Drosophila melanogaster: one gene and its partners. The protein of the gene in region 1 purifies or fractionates together with the protein of each later gene. This does not show direct contact. Each region holds a gene or a part of one and is shown on either strand. Other genes may lie near its edges.

Evidence for each region. The genes of interacting proteins can lie anywhere in the genome.
Region 2: the proteins of wech (region 1) and Ilk purify together in Drosophila melanogaster (affinity purification with western blotting, with the first as the bait; one study listed by BioGRID). This does not show direct contact.
Region 3: the proteins of wech (region 1) and rhea purify together in Drosophila melanogaster (affinity purification with western blotting, with the first as the bait; one study listed by BioGRID). This does not show direct contact.

The regions. Positions count from the first base shown.
Region 1 is NT_033778.4:7,486,707-7,491,811, reverse strand, and holds the start of wech (wech), read left to right. Parts: upstream 1-1,988; 5' UTR 1,989-2,479; intron 2,480-3,119; exon of another isoform or gene 3,120-3,356; intron 3,357-5,105. Other genes in the region: Coop (corepressor of pangolin), read left to right, coding at 1-763. UniProt on the Drosophila melanogaster protein: Vital for larval development. Plays a role in tumor formation. A crucial component for the physical link between integrins and the cytoskeleton in the epidermal muscle attachment sites.
Region 2 is NT_037436.4:21,215,086-21,219,740, forward strand, and holds Ilk (integrin linked kinase), read left to right. Parts: upstream 1-1,815; 5' UTR 1,816-1,978; coding exon 1,979-2,067; coding exon of another isoform or gene 2,068-2,071; exon of another isoform or gene 2,072-2,481; coding exon 2,482-2,647; intron 2,648-2,705; coding exon 2,706-3,251; intron 3,252-3,313; coding exon 3,314-3,859; 3' UTR 3,860-4,155; downstream 4,156-4,655. Other genes in the region: CG10508 (uncharacterized protein), read left to right, coding at 1-27, 288-416, 491-698; Trmt112 (tRNA methyltransferase subunit 11-2), read right to left, coding at 1,044-1,238, 1,392-1,493, 1,559-1,636.
Region 3 is NT_037436.4:8,543,103-8,548,000, forward strand, and holds the start of rhea (rhea), read left to right. Parts: upstream 1-1,898; 5' UTR 1,899-1,987; intron 1,988-3,572; exon of another isoform or gene 3,573-3,773; intron 3,774-4,898.

The DNA of each region.
Region 1 (5,105 bases):
GTCCAATGAGACGCCCTCGTCGTGGCGCTTCTACAACGATATGCGGTTCATGGAGCCCGCCGTTCACGAGAATATCATGCGTCAGACGCGAAGCAGCAGCAAGAAGCACCCACCCGGACACTGGACGGAGAACAATAATGTGCTGGGGCCGGACAAGTATGACTCAATGCCCATTGTTGCTACGGAGCCCATATGCGAGCTCAGCCACAGCTATGACTCGGAGCTACACCAGCCCAGCTTCTCGGACATCAGTTCGTTCTTCGAGGATCGCGACTGCCAGCCGCCGGAGAATAAGAGATTTAAGTCGGAGCCCAGTCAGAGGGAGGAGGACGAGGAGGATGACGATGACTTCGACGAAGATGCCGCCTCGGAGAACTTGGAAGAGGAACGCGGCAATCGTGCCGATGCTGCCAGTTCCGGTGTATTCACCATAGAAGTGCTCGATGACGACGACGAAATGGAGCAGGCGGTGACCAAGACCAAGGCGAATAACACTAGCCACGGCGGATCCAGCCTGAAGAGCGAGCAGGAGGCCAAGGTGTTCTCCAATTCGCAGTCACCCACCGCCGATCTGCCATTCAAGTATATCAGCACGGATGTGGCCACGAATACGGATCCCTCTGGTGGAGATCTCCAGGACGAGGCGGATCGCATGTTCCTGCTCAGTCTGATGCCCTTCCTGCAAAGATTGGACAGCCGCCGGCGTCTGCGCGTGCGCCAGAAATTACAGAACGTGCTCATCGAGGAACTGGAGTTTGGCTGAGGACGCGTATATCCGGGGGAATGTGGGGAGATTTACTTTATAAGCCTAGCTTACAGTATTATAAGAACGCGACTGACTAACTCTGTGAATCTGCCTACATACGTAGCATGTAATCAGTATTCCGGCCTGCTTTCCTTCATACCAACACACTTCAATACATACCATATTGCATTACAATACATATTTACACTTCAAATAGACGATCACGCCAGCATGATTACTTGTTTCTTCCTCAGGATAACCGCTCACTTTTACCTGTATCTGCGCTCCGGTGCACCTGCGCCTTTTACCTGCGCACCCCGCCCGCAGTTCGAGTTCCCAATTATCCACGGTCACTGTTGCAATTGCATTTTTCCAGCCACGGGCGGCTCAAAATTTCTGTCAGTGCAAAACAAGTTCTTTAAGGGTGGTGCACGCGGCAACAACAACAACCACAAGGTGATTCCCTCCGCATTTTCGCGCCACATGCGCCGTTAATGCTAATGTACCGCGCTCTCGCTCGCTCTCTCCGCTCACCAATCACAATGCGCTCCGGATGGGCGAAACTTGGTCGAGCCTAGGCAACTTGATAATTCCCTTTTGGTGTGTTGTGTTTTTTGCCTGAAAACATCTCCCCATGTTTTAAAAATGATTCAAAGCTTTCGTTGAATAATGGCGGGCTTAACAGTTCTGCGATTTGCTTAATAGGGTCCAATTGGATGGAGTTTAACTTTCAAAAACTTTCGCTAAACAGAAAGCTCATCTTCTAATGAGTAGAGTCTGAAATTTAGACGCAGAATCCATAAAAATTCTTAGTGGTTCATGCATTGTTGTTAAAATGTTGAATGCTGTTTTGTCTTTTCGGAACTCATTTGGAATTCCAAAATTTAAGGTGAAACACTATTTAATTTTAATTTAAAATTCCTTTTAATTTCAGCAGTATGATTCCCCTCTGATTTGTAATCACAAAAATGTTCATGGCCATTCATTGACCATCATTTATACTTATTATAATCATTTATACTATTTATAAAAATTGAAATATAACAGTTAGCAGAATCAGTGTGACCAGCCATTGTGAGGATCAAAAACTAAACCTCCAATTCGGCTATGCCCGCGATACCCTGAACGAACAGGGGCGCGAATGACAAAAACAACAAAAACCAGCAGCAGCAGAAGGGCAGCGTCGTAACGAGAGAGCCGGGCAGAGAAGAAGAGGAAGAGGCAACGGCAGCGGCGAGCGCATGAACGTGAGTTTTGCAGTTTGATGGTTAAATGCGTGCGTGAAGGTTGGAGTGAAGATTTTGAGCCGAATTCGAATCCTAGTCCCCGCCGCAATAAGTGGGTCAGAATTGGAGCCGTTCGATTGGGCCAAACAAAAAGCTGGGCGCCACCGCAGACTGCAGCTAAAACACGCCGCCAAAGTAATTGGAAGAAGAAGCAGGCGCACAATAGGAATAATTGTTCATGGATTTTTTCGATTTCTCGTTCGCTTGCAGAAGGAAAAGTGCACGAGGGTGGAACCAAGGGTAAATAAGATTCGCCCGAAAACGCTTGGAAAATGTAAACAATCTGTAAGCACAGCGACGATAAGCGATTTTCAAAGAGTTTGCCAGCTTTTTACATCGATCAAACACTCGCATAATAAACGAATAAGAACTGACGATTAAATCGAATTGAAGTGGAGTGACGACTATGGGATACCCTAGGACCGCGTAGAGTGAATGAATTTGACAAGTGAGTTAAAAAAGCCATGGGGCACGAATTAAGTTAGCATAATATATGTGCGTAAATCAATTCAGTGCTATTAACTAAGTTTGTTGGGGGAAATGTTAGCTGTGTAATCCGCATAAAAGGAAATCTTGTTTAGGACCCATACGCCCCTGATACCCTGGACCGAAGCGGACGCCATTATCCTATTAGCCGTTATGCCCCATCAAGCGATTCGATTGTTTGAGGTTAGTAACAGTACATCTGACCAAACTTCTGCATCGACCCTCTGTATTAAACGCAGTTCTTTGCGGCATAAGTGAAAATAAATAGAAGATAAAATGTGCATGTGAGCCTCCCGTGCATGAGTGTGCCTGTGTCCGTGCGCCCTGCGAAGGAGAAACAGAGAGCGGAAGAAATAGGAAAAGAAGAGAGCGGGCGAAACGAAAGAGAGAGCGACGGTTTTGGAGCGCGCGCGCACATCAAAATTAAAAAACAAACTGTGAGATACATTTGGGTTTATTTTTTATATTTTGTTTAGGCTACATAGGCGATGATGATGATGTTGATGAGCGGCAAAAGCAACAGAGAGAGAGATAGAGAGAGAGAGAGAGAGCGAGCGACTCGAGTGTTATGTTGTGTTTTCAGTTTCGGTTTCGGATGTATCTTCTTCAGTCGGAATAAGGAATACACGATTGTCGGAGCGAACGGATTACGCATAAGAACTCTCTGGAAAACGAATTTCGCCTCGCGAAAATCCGCTGAAAAGGCAAAGCCAAGCCAATTCAAAACGGAATCCGCACCGCATCAAATTAAAAATCGAATCAATTAGCGAAAATCGGTACTGAACGCGCGACCCAACAACAACAAAAGCCAAGCGTCTTGCATGCGGCTGCTAAAAAAGGTGTGTACGCGAAGGAGATGCACGTAGAGAGCGAAAGAGGAGGCACGAGCGTGCCACTATCAACAGAATTTGATAAATAGACTTTAGTCCAATTGCTGCCAAATGCAAATATTGATTTTCACTACTCCCAAGATTTCCCAAAAGATTCCTCTCGACGCTTTTCCGTTTTTGGAAAATATACATACACAAATATACGGACGATTTGCGGCGCAGAAACCACCTACATACGGACATGTAGAGAAACTTGTGTGAATACAACCCTCGTCCTCATCCCCCTATGTTTTTGCGTCGTATCCTCGCTGCACGAACACAAATGTAGCGCTGTAACCGTGTGTGTATGTGTGTGTCTGTGTGTTTGTGAAAGGACTTTAACTTCTTGGTCGTGTTTTTTCCACGTCCTGCGACTCGGAGACAGACCCGTTTCAATGGAAAACGTTCAAGGGTGACAAGGGTAGTTTCGCTGATGCCTCCTCCTTCTCCTCCCCCTCTTCTTTCTGCATGGAGTCCTTTTCCTGCTCTTGTTCTTCTTATCCTTGTTTTTGTTGCCGCTGTCTACACGGTTCGAAAATATCCTAGAAGTGCATTCCTTTCCTAGGGCGTTGCATTGTTTAGCCGAAAAAAAGGGTACCAAAGCTGAGTTTGTTTATTGATTTCATCAGGACTGTTCGCAATCCAATCGCAACCATTACGCACAACCGCTTTTCTTAAACTACAGATGGTATGGAAATTCACGTTGTTGTGATTTCCCTTTAAACACTTTAAGGAGTGTATTTTCTTTTTATAGAATGCTAATTCATAGATGTTAAAACATCCCTAACATCTTGTCGTTTTTTAAAATCTCCTTGTCAAAACGGTAATAACATTCAAAGTTACCTTAACTCAAGGAACGTAAAATCTTGTCCTTAAAATGGGTTTATTTAATAATATCAACATATTTGCGCATTAAGTATATACATTTTCCTGGCTTAAATTTCCAATTTGGTTTGCTTTAAAATTTTACTTAGAACTGATTAAACCGAACAAGTTCGTTAAGTTCTTGTTTATCGAAATGCAAATCCATTTAAAGGGGTGTGATCCTTTACACCAACTTTTTATTAATATATATTCTGGGCCATAGTGCATCTTAATATAAGAACTGAACTGCCAGGCAAATTGTTTTCACCACAGATCGACAAAAATCATCAATCGCTTGACTTTAATATTTTTCCTTGACGAGAGCAACGGGAGGCCTAAACTCAACCCGCAGACATTCAATAACCCTTTTCCACCTTAACCCCATTCGTAAACTGGATTTGCTACCCCTCAAGTCATACTATAAATTAACTCAAATCACCCAAAATCAGAATGAAGGAAGAAATACACGTTCCTGTCGTCAAGTTTTCCGCAGAGTGTGGAAGAAACAGCTCCGTAATCCTGACCCGGTGGAGGGATGAAAGTCGGTCGTTTTATTGGGTCTACGCTCCTCGTCTTAGAGATGGAAACCAGTTCCGTCTGTTGTTTTATGACGTAGTCGCTTTGTGTTTGCCACCCCATTCTCCCCGCCGGAAAAGTCGCTTGCGCAGTGCTGGCGAAGCGAGGTGGTGGGTGGAAAGACAGGAAAATATTGTAACTACGTGATAAGGTTGAGCGCTGAGGTGGGGCCCCGTGAGGGTGGTTTCTAATCCCAGTCCAGTTTGTTTTCCCGTGTTTTTGGGGAGAAATTTCCCGACTCTAGTATCTGGGTTACAGAAAGTATCTAAGGAGTACAGG
Region 2 (4,655 bases), on another chromosome or scaffold:
TGCTCGCACCAAAACCGATTCACTGAAGTATGCCCGCTAAAACCAAAAACCGTTCCGATAACCGTTTTTTTACCGTTTCGCTAAGTAAAATCAATCGTTTTGCGCATGAGTTTTTCAAGGAGTTCGCATGGATAGTATCGGGAAATCCGTTTTTGAGATATTATTTTTGAACCTGTTAACTATATTCTTTCGGCATGCCTTAAGCTCAATATAAAATATTAAATCTTTGAAATATTTTAGTTTAATATAAAAAGAACTTTTATACAAATTTAACCAATTCTCAACAGACATCGTCAGCACTCCCTTGGAAATTCGCATAATTCGGAATCAGCTGAATTTCAATCTATTATCGAACGAATGGCCAGTTTGGGACCCAATTCCCAGCTAAGCAAGGGTGCAGATGAAAATCTTTTGCTGTAAGTAGTTCAACTTAATGTCGAAGTAATAAAAACAAAGACTCATCTATGAATATAATTAAAATTATTTTCAGAGCCGATTATGTCACCTGGAATGGACCCAACACGAAGCTTCTTCAAAAGCAGATCACTCAAGGACCTAATGCTAGTCTTCTCACAGATCGCACCTATAAGCCAAGGGGTGGGAAATCGGAACTCTGCAAAGGACCCCAGTCCGGATTGGCGAAGGGCAGCATCTACGCCCAAGGCAGCAACAAGAGCGCCAACATCAAATGCAACTAGGCGGGAGTATCTCATCTGGAACCTCCCCCAGAGTGCCAAAGAAGTGAAGATGAATCTTAGTAGCCAAGCACCACCCTCCACATGTTCAGACTTACGATTTATATATGTCGTAGTGTTTTTTGCTCTTATCCTTAAACACCTACCAAATACCACACGAGTACGTAGACTCAACAAAAAAAAAAAAAAAAAAAAAAAAAAACGAAGTCACATTCCATCCAAGCTCCAATTGTTTTTAGTAACTCGTAAATAAACAAACTTTAAAACTAACAAACTTATTTAATATTAATGCGCGTCTGGAGAAAGGGGATTATGGGGATTATGGTACAAAAAGCACATGGGTGTAATCTAGACCTCGTCCTCGTTAAGGAGCATGTTTGGTATACCATCGCTGATGGGAAACACACGACCTGTCTCCGGGCACTCCAGTTGACCCTCGAGCACGTCGATCTCGAAGAGCAGATGGTGAAGCTTCTGCAAAAGCAGTTCATTCTCCACAATGTTTTCAGGCTGAACGGCAGGAATGTCTTCTGTGAGTTCCGCCTAAAAAACAAATTCCAATTATTAACGAATATAAAAAATAACAGGTTTTAATAGTTTAAAACTGATTAAAAATATTTGAAACCAGTAAATTTGAAATCAGTAACACTATTTAGAACCATTCTATGGTTCTTTTAGAACCATTCTATCACTTACCACCTGAGCAGCTCCATAGACCGCTGACCAGTCCAGCTTGGGAAGGATTCTCTCCACAAAAGTTGGATTAAATTCGCTCTCCACCACTTCCTTTTTGTTAATCTAAATGCAAAAACAAATAGACCGTGAAACAATCAATAGCCAGGACTTGGGACACCGGAACTCACCGTCAGTTTCAGGGGAAATCCCACTTTGACGCCCTTGATGGCCACGGAGGTCAAGAAGTTGTATGTGCTGAGTTTCATTTTCGGGCTTGTAATGGTTTAATTAATACAAAGAGATGAGGTAAACAACAATGTTTTTAAATAATAGTTGCGGTGCACGTTGTATTCCTTCTTCTTCTTGCTTTAAACATTCACAATTGGTGTATGTCATCGATACCACGATACACACTTGTCGATGTTTTGCAGCAGTTGGCAACGCGAGCAGTGTGTTAAATATTTAAAACGTCCACACTGCACAAATTTTAATTGGAATTCTCACAACTGTCGCATTTTAAGCGTTTAAATCTGTTTCTAGATGTAAATTAGGTTGGAAAACCTATAATATCAGTGACTGCGAGCGGAATAAAGGAGTGAGGAGTAAAAATGGAGGACATATTCCACTGGTGCCGCGAGGGCAACTCGATTCAAGTGCGCCTCTGGTTGGATGAAACGGAGCACGACAACAATTTGGGGTAAATCCAATAGAGGCAACTAACTCCATCACTTTCTAGTTGCTTTATAGTGCACTTAGAAAGTTAAGCCCTCAAGTAGCAACCCCCTCTACCAGGAACGTTTACTTAGTCATCGCCTAAATACGCCCAAGATTTCGAGGGTCTTTCAAGTCTAAGTGACGTCATGATTTATTCTTGTGTTGTGTAAACAGACGAATCAAATATATAAGTATACGTATGTTCATATTTGCCTGTGTGCATATCGCGAGCATAAAACCCGCTTGCCATGTTTATATTGTTCTTTACTTATAATTAGTCTTATAATCCTTTAAAAAGGACCATACCTAACTCTAAGAGCATAAGTATATAAGGTCTATAATGCTCAAATTCCACCATAATTAAAATAAATAAAACAAATAAATTCGTACACTTTAGAGACGACCATGGCTTCAGCCCGTTGCATTGGGTGGCTAAAGAGGGCCACGCCAAGCTTGTGGAGACTCTGTTGCAGCGCGGTTCGCGTGTGAACGCCACCAATATGGGCGACGACATCCCACTCCATTTAGCGGCAGCTCATGGCCACCGCGACGTGGTCCAGATGGTGAGATAAAACAGAAACCAGCTAGGTAACTTATTTAAGAACTTATCTGCCTCTACAGTTGATAAAAGAGCGCAGCGATGTGAATGCGGTAAACGAGCATGGAAACACCCCCCTGCACTACGCCTGTTTTTGGGGCTATGACATGATCTGCGAGGATCTGCTTAATGCGGGAGCCCAGGTGGGAATCGCAAACAAGGACGGGCACACACCTCTTGAAAAGGCCAAACCCAGTCTGGCCAAGAGGCTTCAGGATCTTGTAGAAAAGAGCGGCAGAGAGGTTAAGGTTATCAGCTTCAAGGAACAAAGCTGGCAGGGATTGAAGACGAGATCCCGGGATGCTACTTTGTCCCGTTTCAAGGGAATCAGTATGGGAGACCTAGACCTGCATACCAAGCTGTCGGTGACGCCATCAGGAGAAACTTGGCGCGGACGCTGGCAAAAGAACGATGTGGTAGCTAAGATCCTGGCCGTGCGTCAGTGCACGCCTCGTATATCGCGAGATTTTAACGAGGAGTTTCCCAAGCTCCGCATCTTTTCGCACCCTAACATTTTGCCTATTATTGGAGCATGCAATTCGCCACCCAATCTGGTGACAATTAGTCAGGTGCGTTGAATTTAAATAACTTCAGAAATGACCGTATAAGGTAACCATTCTATTTTCTTTAGTTTATGCCACGTTCTTCGCTGTTTAGCCTGCTGCATGGAGCAACTGGCGTCGTGGTGGACACCAGCCAGGCGGTAAGCTTTGCCTTGGATGTTGCGAGAGGAATGGCTTTCCTGCACTCGCTGGAGCGCATTATTCCAACATATCACCTGAACAGTCATCACGTGATGATCGACGATGATCTGACGGCGAGAATCAACATGGGCGATGCCAAATTCTCTTTCCAAGAGAAGGGACGCATCTATCAACCGGCTTGGATGTCGCCGGAAACATTGCAGCGCAAGCAGGCGGATCGAAACTGGGAGGCCTGTGACATGTGGAGCTTTGCTATTCTTATTTGGGAGCTGACTACGCGCGAGGTACCCTTCGCCGAGTGGTCGCCCATGGAGTGCGGCATGAAAATTGCGTTGGAAGGTCTGCGGGTCAAGATTCCGCCAGGCACATCGACGCACATGGCCAAGCTGATTTCAATCTGCATGAACGAGGATCCCGGCAAGCGGCCCAAGTTCGACATGGTGGTTCCCATTCTGGAGAAGATGCGCCGCTGAAGGAGAGGGGCAAATTCAATAAATGCCAAGCCAAAATGTGCCTTGAGAAACCTTAGATTTGCCAACTAATTGTAATTACTACTTTGTGTTACCTTTGTCTAACTGAGCCTAACCGAAAACCGTACCGAAATGGCAAAGCAAGTGCAACTGCTCTGTCTAGAGTTTATGTTTCTGTGTCTCACTGTTCTCTACTTATGATTTTCCGTCGATGTTTAGTGCGGGTGCTCGATTTTTTACTTTTTAAGTTCAATAACCATTATGATCGTATTTATACAGAAATATATTTGTTACTAATTAATCAAATCGATCAAATTGATTGTGTACCAAAGCAAATGCGGAACCACTTACGAGGGCTTTAGTCCACAGAGCTTATTCGCTGAGCAGCAAACAAGTCGGGAGCTTTCCGCCGGAGTGGGTGGCAATGCATCAGCGCAGCGGGTCGGGTAACGTGAGCACGGCGGCCCTGACCTGGTTTTCATTTCAGCACGCGATTGTGTGCAGCTCGCGTGGGCAGAGCAAACTCGGCGCTTCAGAAGAGCGCGCCGGCGTGAGAAACTCGCGGCGAGAATGGCGCAAATTTGTTGTATTTGCTCGAAATAATTTATATTTATTATCCAATATGTTTTCATTTATAGGCTTAAGGAAAGTGTGGTATTAGTTATTGGCTGATTTGCCAGTGACACTTTTTATCATCCTTAAGATTTTGTTTTGCTAACGTACTTTATATTATTTAAAATCATCTTTTAATGTTGTTTTATTTTCTTTTCTAAATTGATGTTTAAAGCTCTTAAATTAT
Region 3 (4,898 bases), on another chromosome or scaffold:
CAATTACAAATTTCAAGCAATTAGTTCTTTTGAAAACACTCAAACTTCTTGTCATCATAAATTTCTACGTTTTTCAAGTTTTTCTAGTTTTTGTTGTACTTAAAATATGAAAAAAACTTATTATATTTCAACCAATTTATTCGTCTCCAAAGAGCTCAGATTCATCCGCAACTAGAAACCAGAAATGCATTCGGAAAACTACAAACTCAATTAGATGGCCATAAATCTCCGGCAGAGTCAAGAACCCTCTAAATTTTGGTTGATAAAATGCCGAAATTATCACGGCCCAAGCACATGATATATGGGCATTCGGCTTGGCCGGTTTAACCCATTAGCCAGCCGGAAGATCGCTCAATTAGCGTTGCTCCTCGCTGCTGGTCAGTCCCAAGTCCCAAATCCCAAGTGGGTCACTCGAGGAAAGGATTTGCGAATCGGGTTTTTATTTGCCATTACCGAAAACCAAACTCCCTGGCCTCTTTGTTGGGCCAACAAAGTGACATAAATCTTGGCGAGCGCTGGCACAAACTCAACCGGAACTAAAGCAATGACGCAGCAGGAGCACCAGGACACATGTCGATGCGTTCTGCTCATCCATTTCGCTTGCTCCTCCTTGGCCAGCAGTCATAACGGGCGTGTGTGTAAAGCGAGTGTGCCAGTTCCGAGATTTATCGGCCCGAGGGGTGAGTCCATATCTGCACATCCTGCATCTTCTATCTGCGTATCGGTTTGGCAGGCCTCGAATCGCGGGACATCAATGCTCAATGCCCAATGCCCAATGCCGGATGCCCAGAACGACAGGCGTTCGATTGAAATTAATTGAATTTGCGCCCAAGCCACGAACTTGACTTCGTTTCAAGAAATTTCTCAAGCGCGCAGGGGCGGGCATTGTGCACAGAGAGAAATTTTTATATGAAGAATATAGTGTTTTATGTATGAAGGTTTTCTGAAAGTTCGCTTTAAAATGTTTCTCTTGAAATTTCCAATAATTAAATTCAAGTTTGATAGTAGCAAAAGGAATGTTTATCCCCCCCTTTGATAATTTTGCAACTTGTCTTTAATTACTTCTCATTTTTTAAGAGTGTTGCGAAAGAAGGACCGTGGACGCTTGTTTCCTGTTTATGCTCGAGATGTTTTGCAGCATAAATTACGCGTACACATATACCCATGTATTCGCGCATATGATATCCTTGACAAGTCGAGAAAGGAGAAGGGAAAAAAACAGGAACATTAAATTTATTTTTATTTCGCTGCCTTATAGGGAAAGCAACCCCAGTGAAAGGGCCCCCAAAGACGCGCGCTATGTGCGGTCCGTTGACTTTGGCGAAGTCATGAATTCGCTTGCTTATTTTTATGATTTTGGCTAGTTTTTGTTTTTCGGCCCTTAGATTGCTCGTCTATTTTCTGAGGGTTGTAAGTTGCACACTTGGTTGCCCTCCAATCGCCGAAATCAAAACGGAAACGATGATCGTCTCGGAGAAAATTCAGGAAAGCCAGACAAATTTATCAAGTTTGTGTGGGGGTGCGCTTTGGTGGGGCTTGTAACCTTCATTAATCATGTGGATATGTTGTTTTTATAGGATTCGACTACAAATCGCTTAATCTTTAAGCCTTGTTTTAGTTAGACTGCATTAGTTGGGGGTTTTATTTTAAATTTGGCGCTCATGCCTTTACATTTGGGGTGACCCTGCACTTAACAGTCTGCCATTGGCATAACAGCTCTGTGTGCAGACTACTTTTTGCTTGCCGTAGTAATTTCAAATATTATAGAAGTATAGGCAAACTATGATTAGAACTTGTAAATTTATATATTTTTTATTTATTTTGTAATTATGTGACCCAAACGCTAATTGGTTCCGATAGCCGCAATGACTTATCGATAGCTGCTTGACGCACGGTCACACTGTCTTAACTACGGAATATTTTGTAAAGTGTTAGTTTTATTTACTCGATTTTAGCTCTCTTTAAGCCCTTTTCGCCGTGTGTTTCTGTAAGTTAACCAATGTTTAAAACCCCAAGTGCACAAATCAGTTTAAAGCCCCTTTCCCGCGGCATGAAAACGCGTCAAACAAAGCCAGTGGAGATTCAGCTGCGGCCTGGCCAACAAGAACTCATTTCGATTCGTTCGCACATTTTGTTGTTGCCGCCTAGTGGGTGCTCCTCCGGGGTGGAGTCATCATCGTTATCCCTACCCCCAGTTGTTGGCGCCGACTGTCCGGATTTTGGTCTCTCCCACATGTCCCGCACATTTGTTTTTGTCGGTCACGCGAATTCCGCCCTTTTAACCAAGTTTCCAGTGTAACAACAAAAGGGGGCAAAAAAAGGGAACGCCCGCATTTGTATGTTTGTTCGTTTGTTTGCTTGTAAGCATCGTCTACGTTTTATGCTAATTAAAGTGCAACATTTTTTTTTTAGCCAAAGCTGCGAATATAATTCAATTAACGAGAGTCCAACTGCGACTGCCTCGCATTATCAGCACAGCAGTTGGTTTGGTTTGACGGCTTTATCTGAGCAGCTGGATGAGCGTGCAGAATAGCATGGTGTATATGTATATGGGGTACATTCCATACGCGATAAGATAACCCCCGGTTGCTGAAGAAGAAGAAGAAGAAGCGCCGGATTCGCGGGAGTTGGCAATTGCCTTCAATTCTCAAGTTAATTGTGGAGTTAGCTGTGCAACTGCAACCCTCAAAGATCCGAGACGAGGACCCACAAGACTCGTGCCTACATCCCGCTGTCAGTGGCATAGAGATTCACTCTTCCCGGGATCAGGCCCTCAATTGCGTCAATAATTGGACCTAATTGAAGTCAACAGGCTATTATTTTGCCTCCTTTGTTTATGCACGTTTTTGGAAACTGTTGTATTCAATTATTTCAACTGAGATTGAAATTTCTCATGTATTCTGTTTGTGTAAGAGTTTTAAATGCAGATACTTTCCTAAAAAGAGACTGGTCCTGTTTAGATTATAGTATCTATAGAGATTTGAACCCATAAAGATTACGTTAATATTGTTGATTGTTTAGAAGCATTCCTTTTGGGGAATAATCTAGTCCGTCAAAGAGTCATTGATATTATAGATAAGAAATGTTTGGGTCATATAACATCATCAAAACAAAACGTCATTACCAAAACATTTCAAAATACTAATACTTACAACGCTCCAATCGCTTGACTAGCTTAGCCCTTGAAAAGCAGGAGTAATGTCCATTTCTTAGAAAACCCCATGTGACTAAGCGCACTTCCTCTTCCAATTTCTCGCTTCCTCTCTGCTCACTTTTGAGAAGAAAGAAAGAGCCATAAGTTGGGCAACAAAAGATTAGTCACCACTGGCACGGGTCCATCACCTTGTGGCCACTACCTTCTCCTCCGCTGCCCCTTCATTTCACCGCCCTCCCTCTGGCTGGCACCTTTTGTTTTGTTTACATTTGCAGACGGCGATCAGGAGAATCGGAAGAATCAGAGAGGAGAGAAGCCTAGCAGCAGGTGGCTCTCTTCGCGGCTCTCCCATCTGTTGCTCATGCTGCTCACACTGCCCATGGAACCGAGCGAACCACTCGCTTCTATGGCCCGCTCATTCGAGTTTCGTCCGTCGTCGGTGCCAATTCGTTCGATTGTGCCGCGCCCGATATCGCTATTGAAATATATATATATATACATATATCTACCCATATATATGTATAGGCGATTCGTACATATATGAATATCGCATATCGTGCATATCGTTCAAGTTCAAATATCAAAAGAGTTTCCAGCCCAATTGTGGGAATTAAAGAAGGTATATACATGACGAGAGTGCGCGGTCATAAGTGTGTGACATATGGTGTTATTTTTATCCATTCCGAGTGGAATATGTGCCACAAAAAGGCAGTTCCATTGTGTAACTAAGTTCAAACGCCAAATGCACGTTGCGCCTGCGCGATGCGCGCCAAAAACCCATCGGAAAACCCTTTTCCCCATTTCGGATGTCGAGCGTTTTAGAAAACAAGCTGAAAATTACCTCATCGCGCTGCCGGCGCCAGCGTCGACGTCTGCCGTTTGATGTCTGCCCCTGACTACGCTGGTCCACAGAGAAAAAATTTGGATTATAATAGATCACTAGGCTATATCTTATGACGTGCTAGCGAAATCTTAGGACTAGTCAGATTAGCATAATTCGCTTTTCACGATGATGCTTTTTTTTGTATTTGTATATGGATATAAACCTGAGCAAAGGGTTCCATTCAACAACAATGTATAGTATTTGATTATGTAATCAAGAAGTACTGCATTATTTATATTACTGTTTATCAAAAAAATACTATATTATTCTCTGTGTACACAAACATATAGATATTTCATTCTATATTTCTTGCTTGCCTAGCAGCTGGCGGCTGGCCTCCCACTCCCCTCCTCCACAAATGCGATTTATCTTTAAGATACAACGTACGCTAAGATTTGTTTGGTATCTGTACGTAGATTTATTGTTTTTTTTTGTTACGCTCTTTCCTCGCTCTTCTCTTCACCGATTTAAATATCTCGCGTCTTTCGATGTTTTGTCATAATTTCTCTGGCTTTTGTCCTGTTTTCTACACATTTTTTGTCCGATTGTTTGGCAAATTTCGCCGTCGCTCCATTTTGTGGGCGTATTTTGTATATTATTTATCCATTATCTCGAAATGTCAATGCGCTCGTTTAAAGCTGTTGTTATTTTCAGTCTCTCTCACTTTTTCGAGCGTTTCGACCTTATTAGCAGTGGGCTTCGGTTTTGGAATGCCCGCCACATAAACACGCTTCGGAAACATAAAGAAATCGAGATCGGAGCTCATTTTCACTCCATGCTCCACTGTGTGGGCAGTGCATCGGCTCCACATCTACCAAATATTTCGGACGTAGACGTGGGGACGCTCAGCATCCGCCAAGA